4 linked regions of the Pelodiscus sinensis genome follow. The protein of the gene in region 2 interacts with the protein of the main gene of each other region in a pairwise test. Links are inferred from orthologs where the notes say so. Each region holds a gene or a part of one and is shown on either strand. Other genes may lie near its edges. The genes, in order: MAPK1IP1L, C25H1orf94, RBM47 and BOLL.

What was found.
Region 1: the proteins of C25H1orf94 (region 2) and MAPK1IP1L interact in binary tests that used the Homo sapiens proteins (3 or more experiments, as listed by UniProt). The two-hybrid records come from large-scale screens. The link is inferred for Pelodiscus sinensis from reciprocal best matches to the Homo sapiens genes C1orf94 and MAPK1IP1L.
Region 3: the proteins of C25H1orf94 (region 2) and RBM47 interact in binary tests that used the Homo sapiens proteins (3 or more experiments, as listed by UniProt). The two-hybrid records come from large-scale screens. The link is inferred for Pelodiscus sinensis from reciprocal best matches to the Homo sapiens genes C1orf94 and RBM47.
Region 4: the proteins of C25H1orf94 (region 2) and BOLL interact in binary tests that used the Homo sapiens proteins (3 or more experiments, as listed by UniProt). The two-hybrid records come from large-scale screens. The link is inferred for Pelodiscus sinensis from reciprocal best matches to the Homo sapiens genes C1orf94 and BOLL.

The regions. Positions count from the first base shown.
Region 1 is NC_134714.1:9,266,592-9,274,000, forward strand, and holds the start of MAPK1IP1L (MAPK-interacting and spindle-stabilizing protein-like), read left to right. Parts: upstream 1-4,401; 5' UTR 4,402-4,557; intron 4,558-7,409.
Region 2 is NC_134735.1:5,911,884-5,919,175, reverse strand, and holds the start of C25H1orf94 (uncharacterized protein C1orf94 homolog), read right to left. Parts: upstream 3,019-7,292; 5' UTR 2,967-3,018; coding exon 2,707-2,966; intron 1-2,706.
Region 3 is NC_134715.1:92,180,962-92,188,436, reverse strand, and holds the start of RBM47 (RNA-binding protein 47), read right to left. Parts: upstream 3,013-7,475; 5' UTR 2,850-3,012; coding exon 2,807-2,849; intron 1-2,806. UniProt on the Homo sapiens protein: Single-stranded RNA-binding protein that functions in a variety of RNA processes, including alternative splicing, RNA stabilization, and RNA editing. Functions as an enzyme-substrate adapter for the cytidine deaminase APOBEC1.
Region 4 is NC_134717.1:71,754,238-71,761,910, reverse strand, and holds the start of BOLL (protein boule-like), read left to right. Parts: upstream 1-4,656; 5' UTR 4,657-4,802; intron 4,803-5,608; 5' UTR 5,609-5,704; coding exon 5,705-5,722; intron 5,723-7,673. UniProt on the Homo sapiens protein: Probable RNA-binding protein, which may be required during spermatogenesis. May act by binding to the 3'-UTR of mRNAs and regulating their translation.

The sequences.
Region 1 (7,409 bases), on a different chromosome or scaffold from region 2:
GAGACAAATCGCTTGGTCATTGTCTTCAGTCCATCCCCTCCGGGGTACCTGGTGTCGGCCGCTGTTGGCAGACAGGCTACTGGGCTAGATGGACCTTTGGTCTGACCCAGTACGGCCATTCTTATGTTCTTATGTTCTAGGCTCAGGGCTCAGGGTCGGGGGTCTCACTGGACCAACTTGATTTTCATGCAAACATGCTCCTGGGTTCGCGTGTGGCCTTTGGTGGCCAGGCTCGCAGCTATCCTGCCCTAGACGGCCGCATTCCTGTGCCTAGTGCGGAGATCATTGACATTGGAGGCCTCCCCCCAAACCTGGATGAGGTCCACAATCTCTGCACTAGACCAGGCAAACATCCACCACTTGCGGCCCCGGGCAGGCTCCTGGGAGCCGCCAGCCTGGTCCTGGGAAGAGGCGGAGGGCTGGGTGGCAGCGGGTGGCTGGCTCGTGCTGTGCCAGGTGAAGGGTCTGCTGGCTGGGTGCTGGCAGGCTTGCAACTGGCACGAGCACCATTGCCAGACCGGGCCCCCTTAAAGGCTTCAGGGATGGGACGGGGGCAGAAGAGTGGCCACCAGGGCAAGCTGGGAAGGGCTAGCCTCCAACTAGTTCGAATTAAGTGGCTACACAGCCCTTAATTCGAACTATTTAATTTGAACTAGGCGTTAGTCCTCGTAGAATGAGATTTACCTAGTTCAAATTAAGCGCTCCGCTAGTTCGAATTAAATTTGAACTAGCGGTTTGCATGTATAGACGCTATGAAAGTTAATTCAAACTAACTGCTGTTAGTTCGAATTAACTTTGTAGTGTAGACATACCCTAAGGTACTACAGGACTCCTTGTCGCTTTTGCAGATCCAGACTAACACGGCTACCCCTCTGATACTTGACCTTTTGCTAGTGATTTCAGAGGAGAGCAGGACCTTGGAAAATGGTGAGAGGCATATTTATGACAACTGTAAAATTCATAGAACGAGGGGCCCAGTTCTTCAGACGTGTGTGTACATATCACGTGAGTACATATCACTGAATTACTCAGATACAAAAATGTTTGCAGAACCAGTACTACAGATTGGAGGGATGGGCAGGAGAATGTCCTCCTACCTAAATGTATCTCCAACATTGTGATATAATTTTGAATAGCACATGTCTGGATTTACGCTCATTAAGATAGCAAGAGCTATGTGAATAGCATAGTTCCAGCTACAATATATGGCACACGTAATCAGATTAATAAATTCCATGCCCAAAATGGCCCATCCTAATCATCTAGCCGGACTGCCCGTATTATCAAGCAAAAGAACTTCTTCAAAATAATTCCTAGAGCTGATCTTTTTCAAAAACACCCAATCTTCACTGAAAAATTGTCTATGATGGAGAATCCACCATGACCCTTGGTAAATTGTTACAGTGGTTAATTAATCTGTTAAAAATTTACACCTTATTTCCAGTCAGAAGTTCAACTAGCTTCAACTGCCAGTCTAGCTTCAACTGCCAATCATGGCTCATGCTATCCCTTGCTCTGCTAGACTGAAGAGCCCATTATTAAATATTTAATCCCCATGTAGGTACTTATAGACTGTAACCAAGTAATACATTAATCGTCTTCCTTGTTAAGATACATAGATTGAGCTTCATGAGCCCTAGATGGATAATGACAGTAGGAATGTAAAGGGATAACCTCAGAGGGGTAGCTGTGTTAGTCTGTAACTTTAAAAAAACGATAGTCCTGTAGCACCTTTTATATATATATCATGAGCTTTCGTGAGCAAAACCCACTTCCTTAGACAAGTAGCCCCCTGTGCCTAGCTGGGCCCCTCCCCCCCCCCCATCGTGCTGCAGGCAGGGTCTATGCCACGGTTAATTGGTTAAACATAGTGTTTAACCTAGGCCTGGGCAAAATACAGCCCGCAGGCTGAATCCAGCCTGCCAAGCCACTGGATCCAACCTGCGGACTCAGCAGGAAGCCCCAGGCAGGTTCCCCTGCTTGCCCCGCAGCTCCGCACACCACTCAGAAAAACGGCTGCAGGACTGTTTCTCTTTCAAAACTGTGATCCTGGAGGAGAGGGGGGAAGGCTTCGGGCGCTGCCCCCGCCCCCAGTACAGTCCCATTGGCCGGTTTCTGGCCAGAAACTGGCCAATGGGAGCTGCCTATTTGAATAACAGGCAGCACATGAAGCACCATACCCCCTTCCCCTCCGGCTCAGTTATTCACACAAGCACATGGCCCTGCAGCCTGTGAAGGCATGGGGCAGGCAGGCTGGCTGGCTGGCTGAGAAATGTTTTAAGCTCTGCAAGCATTTAGCTCTGCAGGCAGGCATGCTGGGAGGGCTTCTGGCTGGTAAGTCTCCTGGCCAGAGCCTGTCTCTGGCACCCCAGTCCCTCCCTTTCCCAACCTTCTGCCCTCCCCCCCCCCCCACTCAACATACCCAAATCCTCTGCCCCCTCCTGCACCCATACTCCCTCCCATATCTGGCACTCCAATCCCCTGTCCCAGATCATAATCCCCTTCTACTCTAGGTCACAACCCAAACTCCAGCACCCCAGACTCCTGCCCTAGGTCATAACTGCCTCCTCCACCCAAATTCCCTCCCAGACTCCACTCTCTCTCCTGCACCCTAATCCCTTACTCCAAACTCCCTTCTGCACTCAACCTCCATCCCAGACCCGGCACCTTCTCCATTAATATCATGGAAGAGTGCAGCCCACAACCACTTTCCAAAATCTTGGAGTGGCCTCCCATCAAAAATTATTGCCCACCCCTGGATTAACCGGTTAACTTTTTAAACAGCAGTTTGCATCTCTAAATGACACTTACCCCCTTTGTAAAAGAGTAAGGTCTTTGGCTGGAGGATAATGTGATCTTATCTATTTATATTGATCCTTGACATTTTTCTGATAAATTTTTAAATAAAACACACCGTTTCACTAAAAAATGATGCATTATATGAAAACAATATTTTTGACTAAATTATTCACATTTTCTTCAAGCCACTAACTTCCACCTCAATTGTATTTTTCTTTCACTACCCAAATCCCCAGCATTTGGGGGGTTAAATCAGAATGTTCTATTTCTGGTTACTTGGCGCTTGGGTTGTGTGTTTTCCTTCCTTGGCTGTTGCAGGTTCATCGGCTTTTTCCCATTATATGTGCATCAGTCATCTGACTGATTTCACTCTAACAGATTTACCTGGCATTTGTAATTTAGCAATTCTATCAAATATATTTTGTTTCTTCATCCCTACAAATGCTTATCATTTGCTATGTTTTCACAACAAAGGGCTATAGTCTATTTGGTTTCTAATAATATTGTCTTCTTGTTTTCAAATCTTAAGCATTGATTTGGGTGTGCCAAAATAGAGCACTACTTTAAATTTCTCCATTTCATCTCTTTCCTATAAAGTTTATTGAGAACAGGATGTAACCAATTAGCCAATTAACTGGTAAGAATCACTCTTATCAGCTGATGCTTACCGGTGCCCCTGGGTCCCAGTTAAGTGGTTAACCAGTTAAACGTAACACTTAACTGTTTAACCCAGATTTTACATCCCTAATTAAGAAGCAATCCTACTGCAGCCTCATGCTATGTTTCTGGCTCATCTTGGTTCACTCTCTTTCAGCATTGGCTCAGTTTTGAGGACGGTGCTTGATTTGGTGCTTTTGGTCTCGTTTCTGGCACCACCAAATCCTCAGGCTGCTTTAAGCCATGCTAAAAAGAAGCTGCATGCCGAATGCGGTGGTCCGAACTCTCGCTGTTTAAGAAGGATTTCCTGAATAAACGGGCAAACTCTTGAAAGCAGATAAACAAGGAGGAAGCCTGTGGCACCTTGTAGACTAACCGATTTATTTGGTTCAGAGGGGTAGCCGTATTAGTCTTAAAAAACAAGGAATGAACTGGTAGCACCCCAGACCACTTGTTTTTTAAGTTTATTCTGTACAGATTAACTCAGCTACCCCCGAAGCATCACAGGTGTGTTAGTCTTTGGTGCTACTAGTCTATGTAAGTTAAGTTTAAACGTGTCGATGGAATCATGAGCTTTCCTGGGCACAACCCACTTCTGGGGCACAAGCTGTGGGGGGGGGTGGGAACCCCACAGGGGCTCAGACCCTTTTGTTGCAATTGTATGTGTGTCTGGGCTTGTGGCAAGGGCTTTCCATGTCACGTGTGGGGAGCCACGTCCTGCTGGCCCCAGCCTGGGACTCTCTGGCCTCCTGCCTGGCCCTGCAGAGCCCCGCCCCTCCCAGCAGCACTTCCCCCCGCGTTCCACTAGGGGCCGCTGCGGCGCCCGCTCGCGCTCGCACCGGCACCAACGGCAGGAGGCGGGAAGGCGTCACGTGAGCCATTCTCGCGGCGGGAAATCTGGGCCCGCCTCTCGGGCCAAGGGGGCGGGGCCCGTGAGCGCCTTTTGTCGGGAAGGGGCGGGGCCTGCCGGCGTTGACCTTCCTGTGCGGGAGGGCGGAGGCGCGCTTCCGCTTCCGCGTGCCAGCCTGGGTCGCGCTGCTGCTGCCGGGCCGGCTCCCTCCCTGCTGCCCTCTGTGTGCGCCGAGCGCCTCCCCCCCGCAGGTAGGGAGGTGGCTGGGCCCGCGCCGAGCGCGCCTGGGGGGGCTTCCGCCGGGAGAGGCCTGGAGCCGCCCAGCGGGCTGAGGGCCGGGGGGGGGTAAGTGGCGACCCCGGGGCTGGTCCTCCCCCGTCCTAGCGGCGGCCTCTGTGAGGGGCTGAGGCTGGGGTGGCGCCTCGGGGTCCCTCCGGCGGGTCGTGCCCGGGAGGCGGGGTCCGGCGCCGCAGTGACGTGGGCCCGGGTCGGTAACGCAGCGGGTGGCCCCGCAGGGGTGGACTCGCGTCACGCCCTCCCTGGGCGCCTCTCGCCGCGGGGCCGGGCCCGGCCTCTCCCCCGGGGCCGTTTGTCCCACTCACGCGGCTGTTTAAAAAAAAAAAAAAAAAAAAAAAGCAGGTGCCCGCGCGCGCGGCCATCGTGTCCCGCAGCCCCACGCCCGCTGCTCGTCGTGGGGCCCGGGCGCGCGGCTGTGGGCCCCTCTCCCGCAACACGGCACAAAGGGATTCGGCGAGTGCGGCAGCGCCGCTGCATGACCTCAGGGGCCACTTCGGGAGGGAGCCCGTGGATCTGTTGCCTAGTAGCCGCTCCTAAAAATAGCATTGCTCCTAGTCGGTGCTGGGGTCTGACACCCCGTGAGAAAAGCAAATAGGCCCCGTCCGAAATGTGTTGCGCTGGGGATGGAGTAATAGCACCACAATCCGGAGGTTTTTGTCCGGGAAAAAGAGCATTTTGGCCTTTGCGCTCAAAATGTTCGTTTAAATGTGTGTTAAATTGGGCGCAAGGACACCTTGAAGAAAGCCTTTGGCAAGTCTGTTTCCTTCCAAAAGACAGGACTAGGTAGCACTTTAAAGACTAACAAGATGGGGACTGAATACACCAAGACCATCCCTGACAGATGTCTTTTTAATCTGTTCATAAAAAACTCCAATTACAGGAACAAAAGACTGGGCTATGAAGCACTGTCATTCATGCTTACATTTGACACTTTAGTATGGGCCTTAACAAAGATGCTAATTATCTCACCCATTACAAAATGCAGGACGATGTAGCACTTTAAAGACTAACAAGATGGTTTATTAGATGATGAGCTTTCGTGGGCCAGACCCACTTCCTCAGCTTTTTGATCTGAGGAAGTGGGTCTGGCCCACGAAAGCTCATCATCTAATAAACCATCTTGTTAGTCTTTAAAGTGCTACATCATCCTGCATTTTGCTTCAACTACCCCAGACTAACACGGCTACATTTCTATCACCCATTACAAAGATAGCTTCCCCAATTATCACCCCCTAATATCATTATTTCACAGACACTAACCTTCCCCCCTCATCCTCTCCCACGCCGTTCTAAAATCTGATTTGTCAATTTTATATGTGTTCACTTTTTTTTTGATTGTATCACTTTGGTATATATGGTTGTGCCAATTTTCTTCCACAAATTGATCTGAGGAAGTGGGTCGGGCCCACGAAAGCTCATCATCTAATAAACCATCTTGTTAGTCTTTAAAGTGCTACATAGTCCTGTATTGTTTCAGCTACACCAGACTAACACAGCTACATTTCTATCACTGTTTCCTTCCAGTGTGACTTTAGTGCTGATCCCATGAGATGTAATACTTTTATAACCTGTTTGACTTCGTATACCCTGACGTTCTGATTTTAGAATAAACATTGCATGATATTATCTACACGTGAAATCGTCTGAAGTATGAATTAACCAGTTAAATTTGTCAGTGAGGGTTCTTCATCATAGATGAGTGGGTTTTGCTGGGTTTGGGCCTGGCACTGCATCATTTCTATCAGTGATCTGGATGTGTCACTGGTAAAATTTGCAGATTGATAGAGTGGTAAATAATGAAGATAGAGAACGCCTACAATGTGATTTGAGTCACTTGGCAGCTTGGGCTTGTTTAAAAAAAAAAAGGGAGGGTTTCAGTAGAACTCTGCATATAGATGCATATGTAGGAATAAGGAATGTAGGCCATACTTATAGAATGGGGGGAAGGGGAGGAACTGAAGTCTGGAAACCAGTGACTTCAAAAAGGATTAAGGGGTCACAGTGGACAAGCACTTGTGTATGAGCTCCCAGTGCAGTGGTGTGGCAAAAAGGGCTAATCCTTCCATGTATAAATAAAGGGATAGTGAGATGGCATATGGAGGTTATTTCTGTATACACTGTTATCTTCCATGTGTTAATCCCATCATATGGGGCTGGTACTTAAAATCTTCCTCCAGATCTCTGATACCATAATCCTCTGTCACACCACATGCTAACATGTCTGTTTATGATGCCCCACCATTTCTTTTTTGGCCTGGTCTCTTTTCCTTCACTCTTTATCTGTTGGACTTTTAACCATAGAGTTATCATTACTGTGCTTTACGTTGCTAAAAACCATCTAAGCCTGTATCTCCATCTTTTTATTTATGGGTGTGTTAAGTTTTTCTAATGCACATGTTCCTTACATGGTCTTTTTTGTTTACACTAAGAACATAAGAACGGCCGTACTGGGTCAGACCAAAGGTCCATCTAGCCCAGTATCCTGTCTACCGACAGTGGCCAACACCAGGTGCCCCAGAGAGGGTAGACCAAAGACAATGATCAAGCGATTTCTCCTGCCATCCCTCTCCAGCCTCTGACAAACAGAGGCCAACGACACCATTTTATCCCCTGGCTAACAGCCTTTTATGGACCTAACCTTCATGAATTTATCCAGCTTCTCTTTAAACTCTATTATAGTCCTAGCCTTCACAGCCTCCTCTGGCAAGGAGTTCCACAGGTTGACTACACTCTGTGTGAAGAAGAACTTTCTTTTATTAGTTTTAAACCTGCTACCCATTAATTTCATTTGGTGTCCTCTAGTTCT
Region 2 (7,292 bases):
ATTTTAAAATAATTAAAAGCTTGCGAAATCAAGCAAGGTCACTGCGAGTCGTCTTGGCCCCGTGTGTTGTTGCAGATGACGAATCAGGTGATTCGTGTGCCTTTGCGGGCTGTCAGCATAGATGGTCAGGGGTTTACAAAATCTCTTCCCAGCGACTGGATTGCCTGAGAGTTGTATAAGGACACTGATACCTCCAGGATCTGTGTCCAAACTGTGGTCTGGGTTTGCACCTGCTCAGCCTCCCAGTTGAGAAGCAGTGGTGACTCCAAAGAGGTTTATTCATGTGAGGAGAGCAAAGCAGGTCTTGGCATTTGGTCAACAGGAGCCAAAACCTACCTGAAGGCAGTTCAGTTATTACTTGTACATGCACCAAGATCAAGACCCCGTATGATACAGGGCAAGAGACAGCTCCTACCCTCAGCAGACAAAACCAACACCTGGAGGGTATGGGAGAAGACTTTTGCCCACAGCCCACCCCTCAGCTCAGTGGTAGAAGTGTCAGTAGAACCCAGCTCTCCTGAGTCCTAAGCTTAGTGTGCCCTGTCCACTGGACCCCACGGCCTCTCTCATTGCATGGGAAATGAGTTTGATGGGTCTCAGTCCAGTTTCTGTGGGTTCAGGCGTCCCCATCACAGCTCTGGTGCTCTTGTGGACAGTTTCACCGAACAAGACAAAGGGGCGAGAGAAGAGGATGATCTCCCCAATTATGATAGTTTCAGGGCAGTTACATGGCCCAGTGGCAAGGAATTATGCTAGGTTGGCTGCCCTTGAAGAACCCACTAAATTCAATGCTAACAAAACCAAAAAAACCCCACCCCACTCCATGGAGCTTTACGGGTCTGCGTCACTAAGGGTGTGTCTAGACTACAGGGTTTTTTCGACAAAGGTGGACTTTTGTCGACAAAACTATACCTGCGTCTACACTACCGCCGAGTTCTGTTGACAGTAAGTCGACAGACGCAGCAGTTTTGCTGACGGCAGTAAACCTCATTCTACAAGGAGTAACGCCTTTTGTTGACAGGGTTCTGTGGACAAAAGGCGCTATTGCATCCACGCTGTGCTTTTTCAAAAGAGAGCGTCGGGACTCTCTGTTGAAAAAGCGGCTTGCTTTGTCGACAGAGCTGGCTGTAGTCCAGACACTCTTTGTCGAAAGAGGCTTTGTCGATAGTATCTGTCGACAAAGCCTGTAGTCTAGACGTACCCTAACATAGGGGAGGAATTAAAGTTCAGATTGTTAGTAGTAGTTTGATGCTGTTCCACGCTGGCTGTGGTGCTTCCCTTCTCCCCATAACATTTGAGCCCCTCTCATGAGTGCATGAACAGATGTGATGAACATCTGGTTCATAAAGACACTTGGGCCTGCATTCTCCTTTCAGTTACTCCAGCTATGCACCAGGAGTTACTTTGGTGGAGTTACTCCCGGTTTACGCAGTCACAAGAGGATAAACGAGCCTCAAGAGTCTTCCTTCAAGATTTAAGTACATTTAGCCCTGGTCTACACTAGGACTTTATTTCAAAATAACCCCTCCAAAGTCAAATTTATAAGCAGAGCATCCACACTACCAAGCTCGTTATTTCGGAATAACGGGCTGCAGAATTCAAAATCTGGACTCCTGCTTTTCATCAGGAGTAATGCTAATTCCAAAATAGTTTTTTCAAAATAATGGTAGTGTGGACGCATCAGTGTTGGTATTTCGAAATAACTACTCCGCAGAGTAATTCAAACTAATTACTCCCCATTGCTTCTTGGGGCTCTAAGTCCAAGGTAGCACGTCCACATTAATGAAACCTGCCTTGCGCTAATTTTGAGGCTTTTCCATAGTGTGGCCATGCTAGTTCAATTTTGTTAAATTGAGAGTTAAATCAAATTAATTAATTTCAAAATAGTTGCCTACTGTAGACATGGCCTTAGTGAGGATGGGACACTGGGTTTGAGTCCTGGATGCCTGGGTTCTATTCCTGGGCTGTGTGGCCTTTGTTAATTTCCTTTCCTTCAGTCTCGCTTTCAAGGGGAAATTATACTAATTCACCTTTTATAAAGCACTTTGAGCTTCTAACGTTACTTATTTACTGTATCTCAGCAGGCTGGGCCCTGTCTGTGAAACTGTGAATGGTGTTATTGCATTTTTACTTTCAGACTAGGACAGTTGCCAACCTTTGTTAATTAATTGCTGGGTTTACAAATTTGACTCCCTCACCCCCAGTCCCGCTTCAGGAGACTACTATAAATACGTCCCTCTTAAATTTGAAAACTGTGCTTCCTCCCCTCCCTTCCTTCTCTGCCAAATTGAGCTCTCCTTTGTAAAGATCAGCTGTTTATAGTATAACATTTTAATTTTCTGCTTTGCTTTTTGAAAGCATCTTTTGCTTCTTACTGTAAATATTTTGATTTAAAAAAAACTGCTGTGGGGAAACTGAATGCGGCAGCTGCTTACTGTGCTTGGGAATTACAGATGTGGCGAGGCATCACGGGGCGTTTTGCATAGGAAAATGAATGTGTGGAGGGAAAGGAAATAATTTTGCCCTCTGGCTTGATGCTGTGAAAATAAACACAGTGTTTCATCTCAACTAGTTTGAGAGATTTCCTACTCTGGTTGTACATAGAGTCCCAAAGCTACTGTAGGGCAGAAAGGGTGTTGGAAAGTGAATGTTTCCACATGGAGTTGATCAGTGATCTTCTTTCTGACATAGTTGGAGAACACTCACTCTTTCAGGTAGCGGCTGCCCTCTCCTCTGAGGAGGTCTGATGGCAAGACTGGGTGACAGGGAGGCTGCAGGACTGGTGACGTTGACTGGAGCTCTTCAGGCAGACCTTGTACCCGTTTCCAGATCTCGTGGCAGGCTTTGTCCAGGCTGTCCTGAGGGGTGTTGTGGTGGATCCAGATGTGCCTGGGGAAAGGTCCTAAAGGAAAGGGGCTTTTGGAGCTGATTGTCGGACCCGGGAGCTCACTCCCGCCTGTGAGCATCTTTCAGTCTTTTCCCACCCAGGCACCAAAAGACAACTTTTTGAAAGGGGCGTTGTGGGTACAGAATGGAATGAAAAGCAACAAGCCATGGTAACTTGGTAACCATAGAATCCCTGGGTCCTGGCAACTGGTACGAAGGACAACAACCGGAAACAGTGGTAGGGATTCCAGCAGCACTGAAAGGAAGATGGGGAAGAGGGAGCCATGTGTGAGATCCTCCAAGTAAGGCAGAGGGCAGCCTCTAGGACCGGTGTCCATGGGGTCGCCACCCTGCCCCAACTCCATATATTCTCAGGTCCACGTATTAACTCCACCCTCCTCTTTCCTTCCTCTGTTCTTTGTATTTAATGTATCCTGTGACAATGAGAGGGTTACACCCACGTTGTCTCCACTGAAAAAGGAGGTGAGTTCTCCTCTGCTCCGAGTCCTTTCTCTTATCTCATATCAGGTCCCCTCCTGATCCTTCTCACAGAAATAAACTGAAGCAGAGACCGCAGGATTTACTCTGGTGTGGGTCTGAGAGCCAGGGGCTCTGGCTGTCTTGTCTGGTTTACTTCTGTGTCTCTAAACTAAGAAGCATGAGCATAGCTAGCTAAGTCTCCATTTGTTCTGCAGATGGGCTCAAGGAACCAACTTTCAGAACTTGCCAAAGTTTGGAGGGGGGTCTAGATTGAGGATTTTGTTCAGGACACTATTTTGTTCTTAATGGTCCCTCTGAAGCATTGGACATCGGCTGCTGATGCAGGATACTGGACTAGGTAGCATGCTCTGGTACAACACGTACACCTCCGTCTTTTGCCAGCCCCGCCTTGGGAATGCCACCCAGTACAGTTATTTCTGTACTGCAGTTTGGAGCACCTGGATCCTGACAGAAGAACGGATTCTTAATAGTGACACAGCTCATGAAGAATCGTATTGCTTCTGCAGAAGAGGGCCATGAGCTTTTTCAGCGGAAGCTCCCAAGTCCTGTTCTGGCTGATATTTAAGGCCAGGAGGTGAGAGAATTATGAAACTATGTTGAACCTGAGGACAGGCTTATCAGCGACAGTTAAACCACATTTCTGTTGGGGAGGGCTGTGGAATGTGAATGAGAAGAAGGCAGCCAGCCCAGACTTCAGATGCACTGGTTATACCTGCAGAAATTCATTTGGCTGCTATGGTTCCATGTGCACCATGTGTCTGTGCAAAACAAAAGAACACGGGCAGGTAAAAGTGAAATTTTTACATGTACAAGAGCCTTTGCCCATCTGCAGGGGCAACACTTGTGCATAGATTTTTTTGTTTTGTTACTGCAGCTGTTGCACCTTTCTCTGAAATCTTAGCTCTGTGCATCTCCCGTTAGCTTAGAGTAAAAAGTGGACTTGTCTATCATGCATCTAAAAAGTCACGGTGACAGTAGTCTGTATAATCAGAGAGATTATTCTATGTACAAGCCTCTTGGCTAATACTGCATGGACATCTAATTGCTGCTCTTTTCACCCACAGCAGCTGTGGTTGGTCAACAAAGTAGATGTTGGGATTTATTTTATTCATCCTAAGTCTGTTCATATCCCTAGGGAGACTTGTTGATTGTGCTGCTTTTTGTTTGGGAAAAACACTCTTAAGATTCACCAGCCCAGATGAATTAAGACTCCTAACCACCTCTGACTATGTATGGAATGTCATTTAGTAGTTAAAGGGAGACTTAATGTCAGAATTCCTATGTGATGTTCTCAGATTTGGCACTAATCCCCTTTGTGCCCCGGGCAAGTTCTTTCTCCTTCCTGTCTCTCTGTTTCCCAATCTGTAAAATGGAGTTCATGCTTCTTACTACCAGGAAATCACTGTGAGAACTAACTAAGCCAGCAGCAGGCAAATACCAGCACGTGAGCCGGATCCAGTTTGCCAGGGTTAGCCCCTGGTGGGCTGCCGCTACTGTATTTACCTGCATCTCTGCAGGTATGGGTGCTTGCAGTTCCTATTGGCCGCGGATCGCCATTCCTGGCCAATGGGAGCTGCAGGAAGTGGTGTCCCAGATGGTGCTACTTCCTGCAGCATCCCATAGATGAGCTGCAAGCACCCATATCTATGGTGGCACAGGTAAATATAGCAGCAGCAGCCTGCCAGTGGCTAACCCTGATGAACTGCTGCCATCTTATTGCCCACACCTGGACTAAGGCCAGTTCTATGCTATGGACTTATATTGGTATAACTACATTGCTCAGGGGTATGAAAAAGCCATACCACTAAGCGATGTAGTTATACCCTCTAACACCCAGTGTAGATAGGGTCATGTCTCCCATCGACATAGCTACCACCTCTCAGGCCATGTCCACACTAGGAAATTCTTTCGAAATTACTAAATTTGACTTAAGAACTGCCGATTAAACAACGTTGACCTTGCGTATCCTCACTACAGGAAAGCATCAAAATTAGTCCGAGGCAGGCTCCATGAATATGGACGTACTACCTCGGACTCAGAGCCCAGGAAGTACTCTGGGGAGCTGTGGGAGGCCTCCCAGAGGCAAGTAAGTTCAAATTAGCGGCACTGAAGTGTCTACACTAATGTTATTTCGGACGTACAAGTTTGGGAATAGCATTATTCCTCATGAAAAGCAGGAGTACAGAGTTCAAATTCCATGGCCCCGTATTCCAGAATAACAGCCTTGGTAGTGTGGAAGCATTGCTTACTTATTTGAATGGGGGACGGGTCTGGGGATTTTGGACTAAGGTCCTAGTGTAGACCAGAGCTCGGGGAGGTGGATTAACTACCATGCTGGCAGAAGCTCTTCTGCTGGTATAGTAGCATCTTCATTAATGGGCTACAGCGTTTCAGCTTCATCACTGCATGTGAAGACAAGACCTAATAGGTGTAAATCATGCCAAGTGACAGATGGCAGAACAAGGAGCAATGGTCTCAAGTTGTGGTGGAAGAGATCCAGGTTGGATATTAGGAAAAACTATTTCCCTAGGAGGGTGGTGAAGCACTGGAATGGGTTACCTAGGGAAGTAGTGGAGTCTCCATCCCTAGAGGTGTTTAAGTCTTGGCTTGACAAAGCCCTGGCCTGGTTGATTTACTTGGAGTTGGTCCTGCCTAGAGTAGGGGGCTGGACTTGATGACCTTCTGAGGTCTCTTCCAGTTCTATGGTTCTATGTTTCTATGACCCTTGGCTCCCAGACATTCAGAAATATTATGTTTGATTGTGTTCTTTGGGGGTGGAAGGCTTGCAGTGATTTATATTGCTTTGGCTCTGGTCGGGGAAATGATAGATAGGATATAATACAGGCTGAACCTCTCTAGTCCGGCACTCTCTGGTCTGGCAACATCCATGGTCCGGCATGACTTTAGTTAGCCGGCACTTGTCATTAGGGATGTGAAAGTTTAACCAGTGAACCGGTCAGCATCACCTTAAATTGGTGGCACTAACTGGTTCCGATTAACTGGTAACGAATGCGGGCTGGAGCAGCCCACCATGAACAGAGGCTGCTCTCGTCCAGAGCAGCCTCTGTCTACAGGGAGCCCGGGTGCCCCAAAGGTAGGGGCTGTTCTGATGGGAGCTGAGAACTGGGGGCCAGTGGCGGGGAAGGGGCTGAGGACTGGCAGCAGTCAGCCCCAGGGTGGGATTGGGGGTTGGGAATCCTGTGGGCTGGGCACTGCTCCAGCTCAGATCCCGCTTCAGTCAGTTAACGGGTTAAACGTTAGGTTAACCCAACATTTAAGCAGTTAACTGATTAATCAGGATTTTATATCCCTGCTTATCATGGGTATGGTCAAGTTTCCTGCCATAAAGTTTGTTTACAGCCACCAGTCCTGGCTCTTGGTGTTCTGTGCTGTGATTTAGCTCCAATTTATCCCTAACAGTCTTCTAAGAGCCCAGGCAGCAGGGGAAGTGTTGGTAAAGCTGCTAGATACTATTGACCCCCCTCCCCCCTCCCCCCTCCAGTTGGGCAAATTCTCTGGTTCAGCAGTTGTCAGGTCCCCAGGGTGCCGGACGAGAGAGGTTTAATCCGTAGGTGTCAGAATCTGGCCAGTTCTGAGCCTGAGCTTTGACTGTGGGTGGCAGTGTAGATCAAACATTCCTGGCTGCTGTTGGCTGCTTAGAAAGGCAAAAATCCCCTGTCCAGCTTAGTGTGGAGGTAATCAGGCAAGTTGATCAGTGGCTAGTGGAGGTTAACAGCAGCCTGCACTAGAACAGACACACATGCACTTTCAAAGAACCCTGCAAGTTTCTGCCAACTTGGCTGTCCTAGGCAGGCCTGTCCCCAGAGCTGGGCACACCTGGTAAAAGAGAGGGAGACCTTTCAACTCAGCGTGCTGCCAGGTGCTTTTTTTGGAAAGCAATTGAT
Region 3 (7,475 bases), on a different chromosome or scaffold from region 2:
ACTGAGAAGATGTGCCTGATCTTGGCAGGAGCTAGGTGTACCCAGAACCATGTTATTTTAAAAACAACCACCACACACACAACAAAAAAGAAATATTAATTTAAGTCTCTCACTGGGAAAGATAATGAGCAGTGTCCTTACTACAAGTCTATAGCATGCACTGGTCAATTTTAGAAACATGAAAACTGAAAATGATAGGCCAGATGCAGAACACAATTCCAAGTGACCCACGTATAGTTAGAGCACGGAGTGTTCACATTATGGCTTTTGCTGTAGGTTCACCTCTAATACTGAGATGTAAATGTCCTGCAAGAGAACTTATCTTCATACATAACTATGTGGACTGGCAGATGTATTTCTTCACCAAGGGCCAAATCCTTCTCCTTGATCCCATAGAAATCAATAGTAAAACTTCCACTGTCTTCAGTAGAAACAGAATTTGGCCCTTAAATCTCTGCCAGTGTTTGTCAGTAGTAATGCAGATACTTTCTTAGTATACTTCTTAGCAATTTGGATCATTCTTAATTTGAGAACTCAGTCATGGGAACTCAGGGGAAAATAGAATTTCATAAAATGGAGATGACATTATACATCCAGATGAGTGTAATATGACAACTACCTGAGTCCAGGAAGATACCTACTTCTTATTCCAAACCAATATTAGTATGAATGGTTGTTGAGAATAGCATTAATAGTGTTCAAACTAAGTAGTAAAGCGTATACATTTTGTTAATATTTACACTGACAGCCAGCTCAAACTAGACCCCAACATCTGCTTCCCGTTTTTTTCTAGGCTGATTTTCATGTTAACAGAGAGAGCACATCAGACATTTAAAAGTCCTAATGAGCACAATCATACGAATTTCCCTGATATCAGACACTCATACTGCTTTCATAGACAGCATTCTATCATATGACACTGACTGAATCAGTATAATACAACTTCTGTACAATGTGTAGAATAGCAAATTACAACACCAAACAATGGAGATGTGGATGGCCATTGATCCTGCCATTATCTCCATGCAGCAGGACTCCTGCCCCTATGAAAAGTCTTATAGTAATCAGCAGAGCTCCATGAATGGGATCCTACCAGGATCAGGTCCTTAGACCAAATTTCTCTTGGAACAATATTCCCATAAACATTTGCCATCTTGGCTCCTTAAAATAAGTATTTTTATCCAAAAGTGTTAATTGTTTAGTTTGCTAATTATAGCACATACCACTAATGTTTGTTAATTATTAATTTTTCATACTGGACTGGAAAATTAAGGTACAGATTCTATTAGGAGCTATATTTACATGACAATTATGTTTTAAAAATATCATAGTTCCAAAGCTACTCTGCCCTGTTGTGTGTGTTTGATAGCCCATGACACATGTTAGAAAAGAGGGCCCAATTCTCATCTAGCAGATAGATTGTATCTCAAGAATGGCTATATTGAAGGCAATGAAGTTATTTCACTGGGTAAAACATGAGTGAAAGAAGAATCTGGCCCAGTGACAGGATATAAAAGAGTGAGAGAAACTGAGAATACAAGCAAAATGTTTTCCCTTAATTTATTTTTCAGACTCTAATGTTATTTTGACTGTATAATTTGATTTTTAGCCTTGATAGTAATTTAAACATGAATCTGTTAGGAAAAATAAGATAACACCAGAAATATACTGCTATTTGGAGTTTATCTTTCTCAAGAGTGCATATTGCTTTCCATTTTCCAATTTTATACCAGGCTCTGCTTAATACCACAAGTAACCTTTCACCTTTATGATCTGACACCTGCAGTACTTGGAGATGTTTAGTATATAATGTTGCAGATCCCTCTGGCAATAGTCCTAAAGTACAACTGCTTGCTCCGCAGTTGTTGTAACAGCCTGATGTATGTTTTCTTTTCTCCCCCTTACAATCATATGAACTCAGCATTAGACTTGTAAAGAATATATTGCAAGATTGTCCAAGTTACTATTACACAAAACTGTGGCTCATAAAGACGCCATTATTAGTTTCAAACTAGCCTCTGGGGCCATATTCTGCTCTGTGACCTCAGCTGGGTGGCAGACTTCAAAAACTAATCTTTTGGTTTGCTACATCCAACTTTTAATATCTGTGACTTTTGCCCCAATCTTTATTTTAAAGCCAAAATGGGAAATGAACTGTATAATTTTAACTTGTAAAACAAACTGTTTCTTTTTATGTGCATAATGAGACATGCCCCAACAATTTTCATCTAACAGCATATAAATATAACTAAAAGGCAAAGAAAGGTGGAATCTACCCGTATTTTATTTTGAAATAATCATTACTAGAAAAGTTCTGTTCTCTTCATTTTAATTGTTTCTAATCAGAGATCCCAAACAGGTATCCTGTTAATTTGTCATCCATCAAAATTATGTCACTGCTACCTGTTGTGAACAGACTCTGATTTTAAACCAACCCTTCCTTCCCCCCCCCCCCATATTTACTTCAACACTATTTAACATGTCAGCTGAAAAGATATTGGCTAAACTTCTGAAATAGCATATATACCGGAGATCACTTTTCAGTCCTCTCTTATTTGATATCTCTCTTTTCCTCTCTAATCTTATAAGTTTTTAAAGAATCTAGTCCATTGTTCAATCACTTTAAAGGAATTGTCAAAGCTTACCTCAAATTGTGGTTTTGTTTCTGTTTTTCACTGACATTATTTTAAACACTTTAAAAAAACCACAACCTTATGTCCCACCATGCTCTTAAAACAATCACAAGAGACTAGACCCTGCAGCAAGGTCACAGGGATAGCATAGTGATCACAAAAAAATTACGTACCTGTATGGTGTTTCTGAAGACAGTTTCTACACTTAAGCACCATTCACAGAGAAGAAAGCGTTTCTGGGCAGCAATCTAATGCATCTTCTTACTTTTTCTAATGTTCTGCTAATTGAGCAGTGTTGAGCAACTCCCTACAAAGCTGTTTAACCCCTTTGTTTCACACTCTGCCGTTCAGAATTGCTGAACACTGAAATACTTCTAGCAAGTCTCTCTGAAAGTAATACCAGCTAAGCTAAAACCCTTGATTCTCACTGACCTAAGCTGCACATTCCAATCTATTAACAGGAGTGCTAATCAGAAATCACTCTTTTAGACTAAATTCCGGACTAGACATAAAGCATGAAAGTTAAGCTGAGATACTGCTTTACCAGGACTCAGTTTTTGCCGACTGGTTTGGTAAAGTCTGCGATGTCTCAGGACTCAGGAGCACTCAGTAAAATTGTGACTGAGAGGAAAATGTTAAGTGTCTCATCTCTGTGTTCTTTTTTCCTCCCCCCTCTCTTGTTCTCGCTGCTCACAGTAGCAAGGTTGTTTCTTGTATACTCCCTGCCCTTAAACTCACCAAACCAGATTTTTACTCCCAACACCAGCAACTTCCCGTAAATCTGAACTGAAATTTTATCCTCTTCACTGAGCCTTTGCTGGCTCAAGGCCAGTGCAGCATTCCTGTTGTTTTAGGAGAGCAGATACCTTTGTTTTTTTAAGGGGGGGAAGAGAATGGATAACCTGAAGAGATGTAAAGGCTGACGTCAGAGAGACACTTGGAAACAATTTAAGAATTGCTTGACACGCCATTTTTAATATAAATAAATAAATATGGAGTTCCAATGTGAACACCCAGAGAGGGAATGTATCGTCACTAAAACAGAGCCACTATTTGCTGAACCACCTGCTTGATCTCTACATACAGTGGTTTAGAAACAAGATGCTAAATCTTGAATATCTTCTAACCCCGCCCCCCTTTAAGCAACGTAGGTTTTCAATAGAGAGATGAAGATTTAAAGGGAAAACAAATTAATAGCACTCACCTGAGGCATAGCATGGCTTGAATTAGTACAGGAAGGTATTGCACTAGGAGAAACCCACAAGCCTTTCTGATCCAAGTTTCATCAATAAGTGGTTGTGCTTGTTAAATAAGTGCCTCATGTCACCCCCTTCTGACCTGCAGTTACATCTGGTTTCTAGAAAAGGAACAAAAGAGAAACTAGTTTTAGAAATAACAGCCAAGCCCTCTTTTAACCTCCCTGTGATCTCTCTGAGAATTGTATTTTAACCCTAAAAAGAAACAGCAATGCCAGAGAGTAAACTTTTCCTCTCCACCTCTTTTACTCTACCTGCCTGTGCAAGGGTTAAGTAGCCTGATGTATTTAAACAAAGCACAAAACCTGTTTATAGTAAATGCAATCAGCCAACAGAAAGATAATTCAGTACTTGTGACTAAACAAACTGGAACAGGAAGCACACATCATCAAAAAATTTTTAAAAAGTACTAATTCCTGCTTGCATTGTCATGCAACTGAAAAATGTTTCTACTTCTCTTTAGACTGAGTCTTTTATTCAATGGCAGTTCAGTTTGTGTGAAAAGTTTAATACTCCTGTTGTTTAATCATTTACATGCAAACATTTGACAGAACAATGTTTGCTTTTTGTACAGATTACTATGGAACCTTTGCATTATTTTTCTTGTTTTGGGGAAGGAATGTTTCTGTAGCTAAGTTTTATTTTCGAATTATTTTTGTAATTTATGAGAGTTTGCCTATACTTTGCCCTATAATTCTTTCACACAACATGAATTCAAACAGGAGAATAATGAAGGGTCATAAAAATTTAAAAAATTAAGGTATATAGTATCGAGAGTTAAAGCTACTGTTGACAATATTCTGCAACCATATTTGTAAGTGATCATAAAATGCTGCTAGCTGTATCACCTGGGAAGATACTAAACCTGCATTGTTTTGCACGTTCTGTCCTGTACAACTAAATTTCTCTGTTAATTTTTATGTAAGCAAAAGCTACAGTGACTCCTACTGAGTTTTGCTTGAATAAGAACTTCAGGATCAGGCCCATATTATTGAATCTCTCTAGTCCAGAACTCTCTGGTCTTGAAACATCCATGGTCCGGAATGATTTTAGTGAGGTGTATGTCCACTTTTCATGGGTGTGGCCACGTTTCCTGCTGTCCCATAAAGTTTGTTTACAGCCACTTGTCCTAGCTCTCAATGTTCTGTGTTGTTATTTAGCAATAATTTATCCCTATATGTCCTCTAACAGCCCAGTAAGCTGTGGAAATGATGATAATGCTGCTAGACAATATTGACCTCCCATAACCCAGAAAATTCTCTGGTTTGGAACCGGACAAGTCCTAAGGGTGCCTGATTAGAGAGGTTCAACCTGCATAATAATACCAAAGAATCACATACTGAAGCCATGTCTACATTAGTATTTATGTTGACAAAACTTTTGTAACTCAGGGGTGTGAAAAAATCAACTCTAAGCTACATAAGCACTTGCCAGCATAAGCACTTGTGTGCACAAGCTATGTGGTGGAGACTCTCTCCTGCAGACACAGCTACCATTACTCCTTCCACTAGTTTTTATTCTGTCTACAGTTGAGCTCTCTCCCATTGGCACAACATGGCTACATATGCACCTTTAAAACGGCATTGGGTAGATGTAGACATGGCCTAAAATTTGAAGTCTTGAAATGAGCGGCTAATGAATGAATGTTATGCACTTACTCAGTGCATAGTTTCAATGTTCCTAATTTTTGTATAATCAAAACCACCTCCTCCCAATCAGGGTATGTCTAGACTACATGACTGCGTCGACGGAGCCATGTAGATGAGTTTACTAGACATAGGAAAAGGAAGTGGCGATTTAAATAATCACTGCTTCATTTACATCAAAATGGCCACCACGCTGTGCTGATCAGCTGTTTGGCGGCACAGCGGGGCAATCTGGATGCACCGCGGTCGACAAAGGAAGCCTTTGTCGACCACTCTGGTATGACTCATGAAATAAGGTTTACCAGAGCAGTCAACAAAGGCTTCCCTTGTCAACCACAGCGCTTCCAGACTGCCCCGCTGTGCCACCAAACAGCTGATCGGCACAGCGTGGCAGCCATTTTGATGTAAATGAAACGGCGATTATTTAAATCACCGCTTCATTTTCTTATGTCTAGTAAACTCATCTACATGGCTCCGTCGACGGAGCCATGTAGTCTAGATATATCCTCTATGAAAGACACCATCCCACTAAGAAGTCTACAGTCATGTCAAATGCTAGGTTTAAACTTCAGCTGCTTTTTTGCTGTAGCACTGCTCAAATAGACTAGTGATAGAATGTTTGTACAGGAGAAGTGTATTTTTCCCACTGCATCAAAACTCAGAAAGGAATAAATGGAATACAAATTTGGAAGATTTTTGACCCCAGAGATGCTGAACATTTTTGAAAGTCATAAGTAGTATTGAGAAAATAATGGGAGAAAAAAATTGTTCAGAAGCATTTATTTCAATTAAAGTGTGCTTGTTAGTCAACTGTACTTACAACCATTCCTCAAAAATATTTGAGCAGCTAATTGCTGCTAGAATAACCTTGCAAATTTTGAAGAATTTGCAAGTGTATATTCACAAATGTGACACTAGGTGGGTGAAGGCTACATCCAGAAATTCTAGCTCTTTATTTGGCATCTGTAGAAGAGTCAGATGATGATAAAGCCCCTATTTATGATCAAATATTGAATTTGTAAAGATATAACAGAAAACAATTTATCTGAGACCTTAATGCCCAACCTGAATCAGTCTCTTTTTTTCTCCCTATATGTTCTATTTGTCCAACTTACACGGATGTTTAGTAAATCTGATGGTGAGAAGCTCTTTAAGGGCAAAGCAAAAAGTGATCCAGTGCTGGAATGTAAACGAGATGTGCTGTAATTTGCTGCAACACCCATCACTCTGTCGGGTTAAATGAGTCAAGTGCATTCAGAACTCTCTAGTAGTGAGCACAGGTTTCCTGTTCTCTTGCCAAGCCATGGTAGGGTTTCTAACTAAAAGAAAAGAATTTAATGAGTTCACAGCAAAGTGAATTAAGTTAAGTGCAGCATGATTAGACTATGATCGCTAATCTTAAAAGAAAAAGCACTTGATTGAGGACGATGCCCTTCAAAGCTGATTGTGCCAATTGTAACTGAAAATTCTGGCTAGATACATGCTATCTCTCAACAGTTATCGGACATCCTTCTGAAATATCATAGAATCGCAGGAATGTAGAGCTTGGAAGAAACCTCAAAGTTATCATGTCCAGCCCCCTCTGCTGAGGCAGGACCAAGGAAACCTAGAGACCATTTTTGATAGTGGTTGTCCAACCTGTTCTTAAAAACATCCAATGATGGGGATTCCATGACCTCCCTTGAAAGCCTATTTCTGTGCTTAATGAGCCTTAAAGTTAGAAAAATGTTCCTAATAGCTAACTTAAATCTCCTGTGTTGCAGATTAAGCCTATTACCTCTTATCCTATCTTCAGTGGGCATGGAGAACAATTGATCGCAGTCCCCTTTCTAACAGCCCTGAACATGTTTGAAGACTATTATCAGATTCCCCCCCCCCCCCAGCCTTTTCTCAAGATTAAAAATGCCCCTTTTTTAACCTTCCCTCATACATCAGGTTTT
Region 4 (7,673 bases), on a different chromosome or scaffold from region 2:
ATTAGGAGTAGGCCAATGAGGCTTTGTAGGATGTTAGTTCTAGTAGTCCATAGCCATGTTTTATTGATCATTACGCCCAAGCTATGTCTACACTTACACAATCTCGTACCAGAAATATGCAAATGAGGCTAAGTGTGGAATATCATTGAGCCTCATTTGCATATCTAATGAACCACCATTTTTGCAGAAGAGGCTCTTGCGCCAGAAGGAATACCTACACTGCCCCTTCTTGCGCAAGAAAGCCCCTCTTGTGCAATGCCGCTACCCTGATTATTTTCAGGAATAACGGCATTGCACAAGAGGGGTTTTCTTGAGCAAGAAGTGGCAGCGTAGATGCTCCTTCTGGCGCAAAAGCCTCTTCCACAAAAATGGTGGCTCAGATATGCAAATGAGTCTCAGCAATATTCCATGCTTAGCCTCACTTGCATATTTCTGGCACAAGATCACGCCAGTGTAGACATAGCCCCAGTGTATGTCTACCATTGAAGTGCTACAGTGGCATTGCACTGCTGTAACTCTACCTACACTGGCAAGAGGGATTCATCCATCAGCATGGGCAATCTACCTCCCATAGAAGCAGTAGCTAGGTCAACAGAAGAGTTCTTCTGTTGACCTAGTCCTGCCTACATGAGGATCTAGGTCATCTTAACTAACCTGTTCAGAGTTATGAATTTTTCACATCCTTGACCAAACAGTTAAACCCATATAAATTTCCATGTCATGGGGCAGACTCACCGCCACGGCACCTCCTGCCAGTAGCCCTGGGAATTAGCTTATTAGCCTGCAAGGTGCTTCCCTTGGGCTAGAATCTCCTCATGTCCTAACACCATGCTCTCCATTCCAGACACTGTCACTCCCAGACCACAGCATCCCCTTTAGGACACTGCCCTCTGGCAATGCCCACTCTAGTGTCCCTTTGTCCCCTTCCAGGGGGTGTTTATCAGTCTCTATCATCCTCCCTTCCCAGGGAACCCATAATTTCCCAGTACTCACCTTGCCTCTGACCCACTGGTAGTCTTCAGCTAGCCTCTGCCACAGGTGTAAACTGCAGTCTGCAATGGCCACTCATTATTGGCAAGGGAATGTGGACTTGCTGCCTCTTCCTATCCTGGCTACCCCCCTGCAGACCTCAGGCCCGTCAACTTGGGAGTGAGATCAGACTAGGGCTCCCCAACTCTAGCCACTTTTTCCCAGCACTGCTCTGTCTCAGGAAGCTACCCCCAGCTTTGCTGGCTGGCCTCTCTTGTGCCCTCCTGGAGCCCTTAATTATACAACCCACAGCTGGGCTGTAATTGGCAATATCACCCTCAGCTGTGGGCTTTGCTCTCAGCCCTCTTTCAGGACTGGGTTTTAGCCTTAAATGGCCAGTGAGGGTGCAGTTGTGCCATTACAATCCAGTGTAGACCAGGTTTTGAACTCCATATTTTTAAATCTAATCTCTCACATGACAGGATATATTTGAATTATAAATCATGGCTTGCAAGTGTGGTCACAACCAGAAAGTTTGGATGCTAAATGCATCTTGTATTGTAGAACTCTGCCATCAAAACCAGTGAGTCGACAGCCTCTGCTAAGCACTGACGATTAAAATCAAGAAAACTTCTATTTCTTTCAATTGTCTGTTGAGTAAACGTAGCTACTAGGTAGGAGACTACACCGAGCAAAATATTGGGCTAAGGTAGACTGAGGTCAGAAGAATGTATGACTATCCCCATTAACTGAGTCATATGAGAGACCCCAGATCAGCCAATCATTGAGGTAGAGGTACTCATGTTTGATGGCCTTGTCTCCTTCAGCGAATCACTACTACCGGCAGGCATTTGATAAATACCCACAGAACTGTTGGCAATCCAAATGGTAGAACTCTGAACTAGTAATGAAAAATGTTGTCTATAAAACTTAGAAACTTTCTGTGAGCTGAATGAATTGCCTCATGAAGGTAAGCATCCAGCAAGTCAAAAGCAGGGAACTTATGAATGGGATCTATGAAAGATATTATAGAACAGGTGATCTTGTTAAAACTCCTGAGACCTAAAATCAACTTCCATTTATCTTTCTTCTTCCATATGAGGAAGTAATGGGGGAGGGAATAGAACACTTTGGCATGACGTTCCAGCAACACTTTTGTCACTCAGTGGAAGCAAAGAGTTTCTCCGTACACAACCAGAGGAGGATACAGAGTTGGTAGCTACTGAAATTGGATTGAATAGCCTTTTTGGTCAATTTCTAAGAGCTACTGGCTAGTCATAATGATAGCTCGGGCATTCGAAAGAAGGAGGAGATTGAAAGACAGGCCATTGCCAAAAAGAGAGGAGAGAAAATTCTTTGAAAATTTTTTGGGATTCTCAACTGTTGTGTTAAAATATCCTTAAAACTGACATGGGTTTCCAGCCCGCTCATTCTGCATTCCAATTCTTACTCTCAGCAGCTTTGTGCAGAACCATCAGCTAATTTGATGGGAGTGTATCTTGTAAACTAGTGGTTTTTAAACATTTTTTCCTCATTATCTAGTTGAAGAAAAGTGTTGATGCCCGTGACCCAGCATTATTTGACTGGAGTGGGGACTCTGGGATGGGTCTGATGATGATAGCTTTGGGGTGTAAAAAGAGGTTCTGGCTTTGGGGAGGTTCAGGGCTGGGGCAAGAGGGGCTTACTTTGAATAGCACGTGATCAGTGGTGCAGCATAGGTGCTAAGTCGGGCTTCCTGCTTCTCCTGGAACCACAGACCATGCTGCACCCCAGAAGCAGCCAGCAGCAGGTTCCCAGCCAATAGGAATGTGGAGTTAGTGCTTGGGGCAGAAGCAACGAACCCTGTGTGCTTTCCACCCCCCACCTAGGAGCCAAGCCTGCTGCGCAGTCTGTGATGCTGGGACAGCTAGGTAGCCTGCTTAGCACTCCCATTGGTCACCACATTCCTCTGCAGCAATGAGATCCAGTACCTGGCATTCCATAACCCAGTTTCGACCCATAGTTTGAAAACCACAGTTGTAAACCCTTTGACTAAGGGCTCATCTAGATGATGCAGAACAGTCGGAAGAGGATATGCAAATTGTGGGAATTTGCATATCTTCTTCTGATTGCATTTTCAAAAGCAGAGCTATCGAAAGTGAAAGTAGTTTAGATGCGACTTTTTCGGCGAACCTCCCCCTTTGTCAAAAAGAAACTCTTCCTCAAAAAATGGTTTACGCAGCTTTTTGACAAAGGGGAGGAGGGTTTGCTAAACTACTTTTGCTTTCGAAAGTGCGATCAGAAGATATACAAATTCCCGTAGAATTTGCATATCCTCTTTTGACTGTTTTGCGTAGTCTAGATGAGCTGTGTGTGACCTCAGATTTATACCATTGTTTTATTCAAGTCACTCTCCTGGCAAAGCATCTGCAGGTCAGTCTAATCCTGTGTGTGCCACCAGAATTAAGGGTTAATAGCTTTTGAAATATTTTATTGTACAGCTTGTTTTTTATTATGTTTACTAGGTGAGATCAGAGGATGGCCATTTCATGTGTATCTTAAATATGTTTTTTCCCCTCAGCTCTGAGCAAAATGCATTTTAAGAGTTGGAAAAGTTTAAAAATTGGTAATTTGGTGGGGACTATCTCCCAAACCTTTGGACCCACATTTGTATCACTAATTCTACCCAGCTATTGATATGCTTCAGCAAATTTGCAAGGCCATTTGTCTATGGGTACGTCTAGAGTGGCAAGATTTTGCGCAAAAGTGGCTGCTTTTGCGCAAAATCTTGCTGCCTGTCTACACTGGCTGCAAGTATTTGCGCAAGAACACTGACTTTGTACTGTACAAAATCAGTGGTTCTTACACAACTACTCTGACGCTCCCGCTCAGGGATAAGCCCTCTTGCGCAAGTATACTTGCGCAAGAGGGACAGTGTAGACAGCCAAGTCAATTTCTTGCGCAAGAAAGCCCGATGGCTAAAATGGCCATCAGAGCTTTCTTGTGCAAGAGAGCGTCTACACTGGCACGGATGCTTTTGTGCAAAAGCAAATCTTTTGCACAAAGGCACATGCCAGTATAGACGATCTCTTGCGCAAATACTTTTAACGGAAAAACTTTTCCGTTAAAAGCATTTGCGCAAAATCATGCCAGTCTAGATGCAGCCTATGTGTTTCCATGTTGAAGCCCTTTGAAAAATCAGTTCTAAACCAAAAAGCTTCTCAAGCTTGAAGTCACTACTACTCCTTTATAACAACAAAGTGCCTGAGCCCTGGCTACGCTACAGCATTCAATATTGCTTATATCAATAGCAAGTTACATGTGAGTATTTGGGAATGATGGATTTTACTTCAGTCCCCCCTCCCTCTCCCCTCCGGTGATGTGTGTTACAGTTTAAGTCTTTCTCCCTTTATGAATGGAAAATGCAATTGAAAGGATTTTTGTATGTTATATCTCCTGGGTAATGGGGATGGAAAAGGACTTTGATATATATTAGGATTGTGTGGGGACTTTACTAGCTGTTTCAATAAGGAATCCCCGTGGAGCTGTAATTTTCAATAGTTACACCGCCCTTCCCTACTACTATTCTTATATGTTTGTGTATCAGCCAGCCTGCAATCAGTTTTTTGAGAGTGTGTGTAATGAGGGTTTGCTGGTGAGATGATACTCACTGAGGGGGAGGGGAAGAAGGAATGTGTGAGTGCAGAAACCCAGAAGCACACAGGGAATGGAGGAGCAGCCAGCAGCTTTGTGCTGCCTTCTCCTGCTACTCCAGGCCTGGAAATAAGAAACCAACCCCTACCCAGCTGCAGCTACTGGTGGTGCCCCAGGGTTTAGTAACTCACTCTGGGGAGGTGAGTAAGCAGCCCTCCCATTCCCTGTGCTTGTAGGGTCTGTAAAGGGGTTTGTGTGTGGTGCTTAGGCGTTGGGCATGCCTGTCTCAGAGCAGCAAGCTAAGCTTTCTGAGTGACTGACAGCACCAGCAGGTGCAAGGGGTGGTGGCGAGAGGGGAGCTCCACTTCCCTACACATTGGTCTCTTGTAACTCAGTGACTGAGCTCCTTTACTGGGGTGGGGAGTGAAGGGAGGATTTCAGTGGGACTGAATGGAAGGGATCAAGAGGCGTGCTGTACAACGGGAAAGGGAGGGCGTGCTTGTGTGGAAGCTGGGCAGAGAGAAGATGACTAAGCATTAGCAGGGGGGCTAGGAGGACCCCTTGAGGGCGGCATTGGCCCGGGCTGCAGGTGAGGGATAGCAGTGCTGGGGGAGCAATGTTGGGGCAGAGCATGGAGGAGGGCTCTGTGGGCTGGTGGGGGAGTAGCTGCGCGGGAGCCCTGAGGACATGCTGCTTTCGGCGCTTCGTGGCGAAGGACCCACGTGGGCAATAGAGTCCGGTAGCCCCGTGGAGCCTCGGGAGGAGGAAGCGCGAGGCAGCCCTGAGGGGCGGGCGGGGGGAGCAGAAACAAGTGACCTCCCGCCTCTCTTTCCCCCCCGCCTCCCCGAGCCGAACCCTAACATCAATCTCCGCCCCCGCCCTCCCGCTCTGTGTCGCCCCCTAGCCGCGCGCTCGGCAGGCCGGCGAGCCCCTCTGCCCCACGCTCCGTTTCCCGGGCCCGCCCGCCCCGAGGTGACTTGCTTCGGCTCTGTGTGTGGGTTTACAGCCAGAGCGCCTCGGGCTCGGAGCTGCCGCGGCGTGTGGAGGGAGCGGCGTGCGGGGAACGTGCTGCGGGGACTTTGAGGCCGCTGTGAGGCGGGAGATGGAGCCCGACAACGCGGTGAGTAGGGGGGGGGGGGGCTGCGTAGCCAGGCTAGTGAGGGGACAAGCGGGGCCACAGGCCTGGCCACTCCGACTCTCCCTGGGACCGACCCAGCCTGAGGGAGGAGTCGGGTGGCTCCTGGGGAAGCCGCCTCAGGGCCCGCGCGAGGGGCTGTGAGTGATCCCCGCTGGGTCTGGCGAGCGCGGGCTGAGGGGCAGCTCGAGGGGCGGCGGCCCCGTTCGATAGCCAGGCCTGTGTGAGGGGCGCTCTGCTCCCTAGGCCGAGCGCGGCTTTCCCGCCAAAACCGGCAGGGCGGCCCCGCCCCGCCTACTGCTCCTGCGAGCCGTTCGCCCCTCCCCCAGCGCGAGCTGTTCCCCGCCGCTCGAGCGAGCCGTTCGCTCCCCTCCCCCCGCCGCGCGCCTTGGCCTCGCCCCCTCCCCCCATCACATGTCGCCAGCGTGGCTGCCTGGCTTTGGCCGAGAGGGCGGGGCCGTTGTGCGGCGCCCGGGATTTTAATGGGGGGGGAGCTGGTGTGAGGAGCTGCCAGAGCCCCCCGGGCTCCCCGAGGCCTCGTTCCCCTTGCTGGCTCTGGGGAGCCCCAGTGCTGCTTGTTTTCCTCCCCCCATGCAACTATCCTGCAATTGCATGAACCCACTTGGCTTGGCATTAGCCTGGGGGGAGGGGGGGGGAAATGGTCCCTCTAAGATTTTCCTCCCACGAGCAGGGAGCGTGTTGTCTTGCGCGCTAGTACGGAGTTCACTGCACTTGTTCGGATGTGCCACTGTGGCACCCAAGAGATTAATAAATATCTTACAGTCCTCTCCCTTTTCCCTCTGCTGTCACGTCTCCTGCTCTCCCCTGGTGCCTACTGTCCCCCACCCCTCACTCTCCTCTGCTGTCCTGGCGCCTGCCCGTCTCACTCCCCTCAGCCCTCTGGGGACCTACCCGTCTCCTGCCCCCCCCCCCCCGTGTTCACTCCTCTTCTAGCCCCCCACTGGTCACCTGTAGCTACCCGTCCCTAGCCCATCTCCTAACATCTCCCTCTTCCCACCTGCCCTGCCTCTCTACTCTGATGCCCATTCCTCCCCCTCCATGTGTCCACCCTTCTACTTCACCCCCACAATCTCCTGGCTCCTTCCCTTACCCCTGCACCTTCCTGGTGCCTCCCCCTTCCCTCACTGCCCTTGCCCTCTTTCTCCTTGGTGCCCACCCCTCACCATCCTTTGCCCCAGTTCTCCTCATGCCCCTCTGCACCCTCACACATGATTTGCTCTATCCCCTGCCTTCCTTGTGCCCACCCCTCCTTTTCAACTTGTCTTCTCCAGGCACCCACTCCTCCCCTCTCCTCTTCCTCCCTTTTGCCCCCATTGTCCCTCCTTTTTCCTCTCCCAGTATCACCCTATCCCTTCCCCTCTCCCAAGCCCACCAACACCTCCCTTCCACTCCCCCTCCTGTCTTTTTCCTCATTGTCTCCTCTTGCCCCCCTGGCATTTGTCTCTCCTCCACCCTGCCTCTTAGTGCCTGCCCCTTTCTTCTGCCCTGCCCGCTTTCTCTCAGCACAAGCCCCTTCCTCTCCTCACCCCCATCTCCCTCTTAGTTCTTCTCTTGCCCCCTTCCCTTGCCCCCTTCCCTCACCTTCTGCCTTCCACATGGAAAGCAGTTTGCGGGGCTGGAACCGGGCTGTGATGCTATTTTTATACTGTGGTCCAGCCCCCACAGCCCAGGACCCCATGCCGGGGTCCTAGTCCCGGTGAGCTGCCCAGCTCCAACTGGAGTCATGCAGCAGCCACACAAGGCCCATTTTGGTGAGGCTGCCTTGGCTGGAAAGTGCCTCTTGACACCAGCTGGAGCCAGGGCTACACGCGGGGGCCAAGACCATGGTACTAAAAATATCACCATGGGTGGCCTCCACTACAGTCCCGAGCGCACCCCATCCTGCAGTGTCCCTGCTGGGCTCCATGCAGCAGTC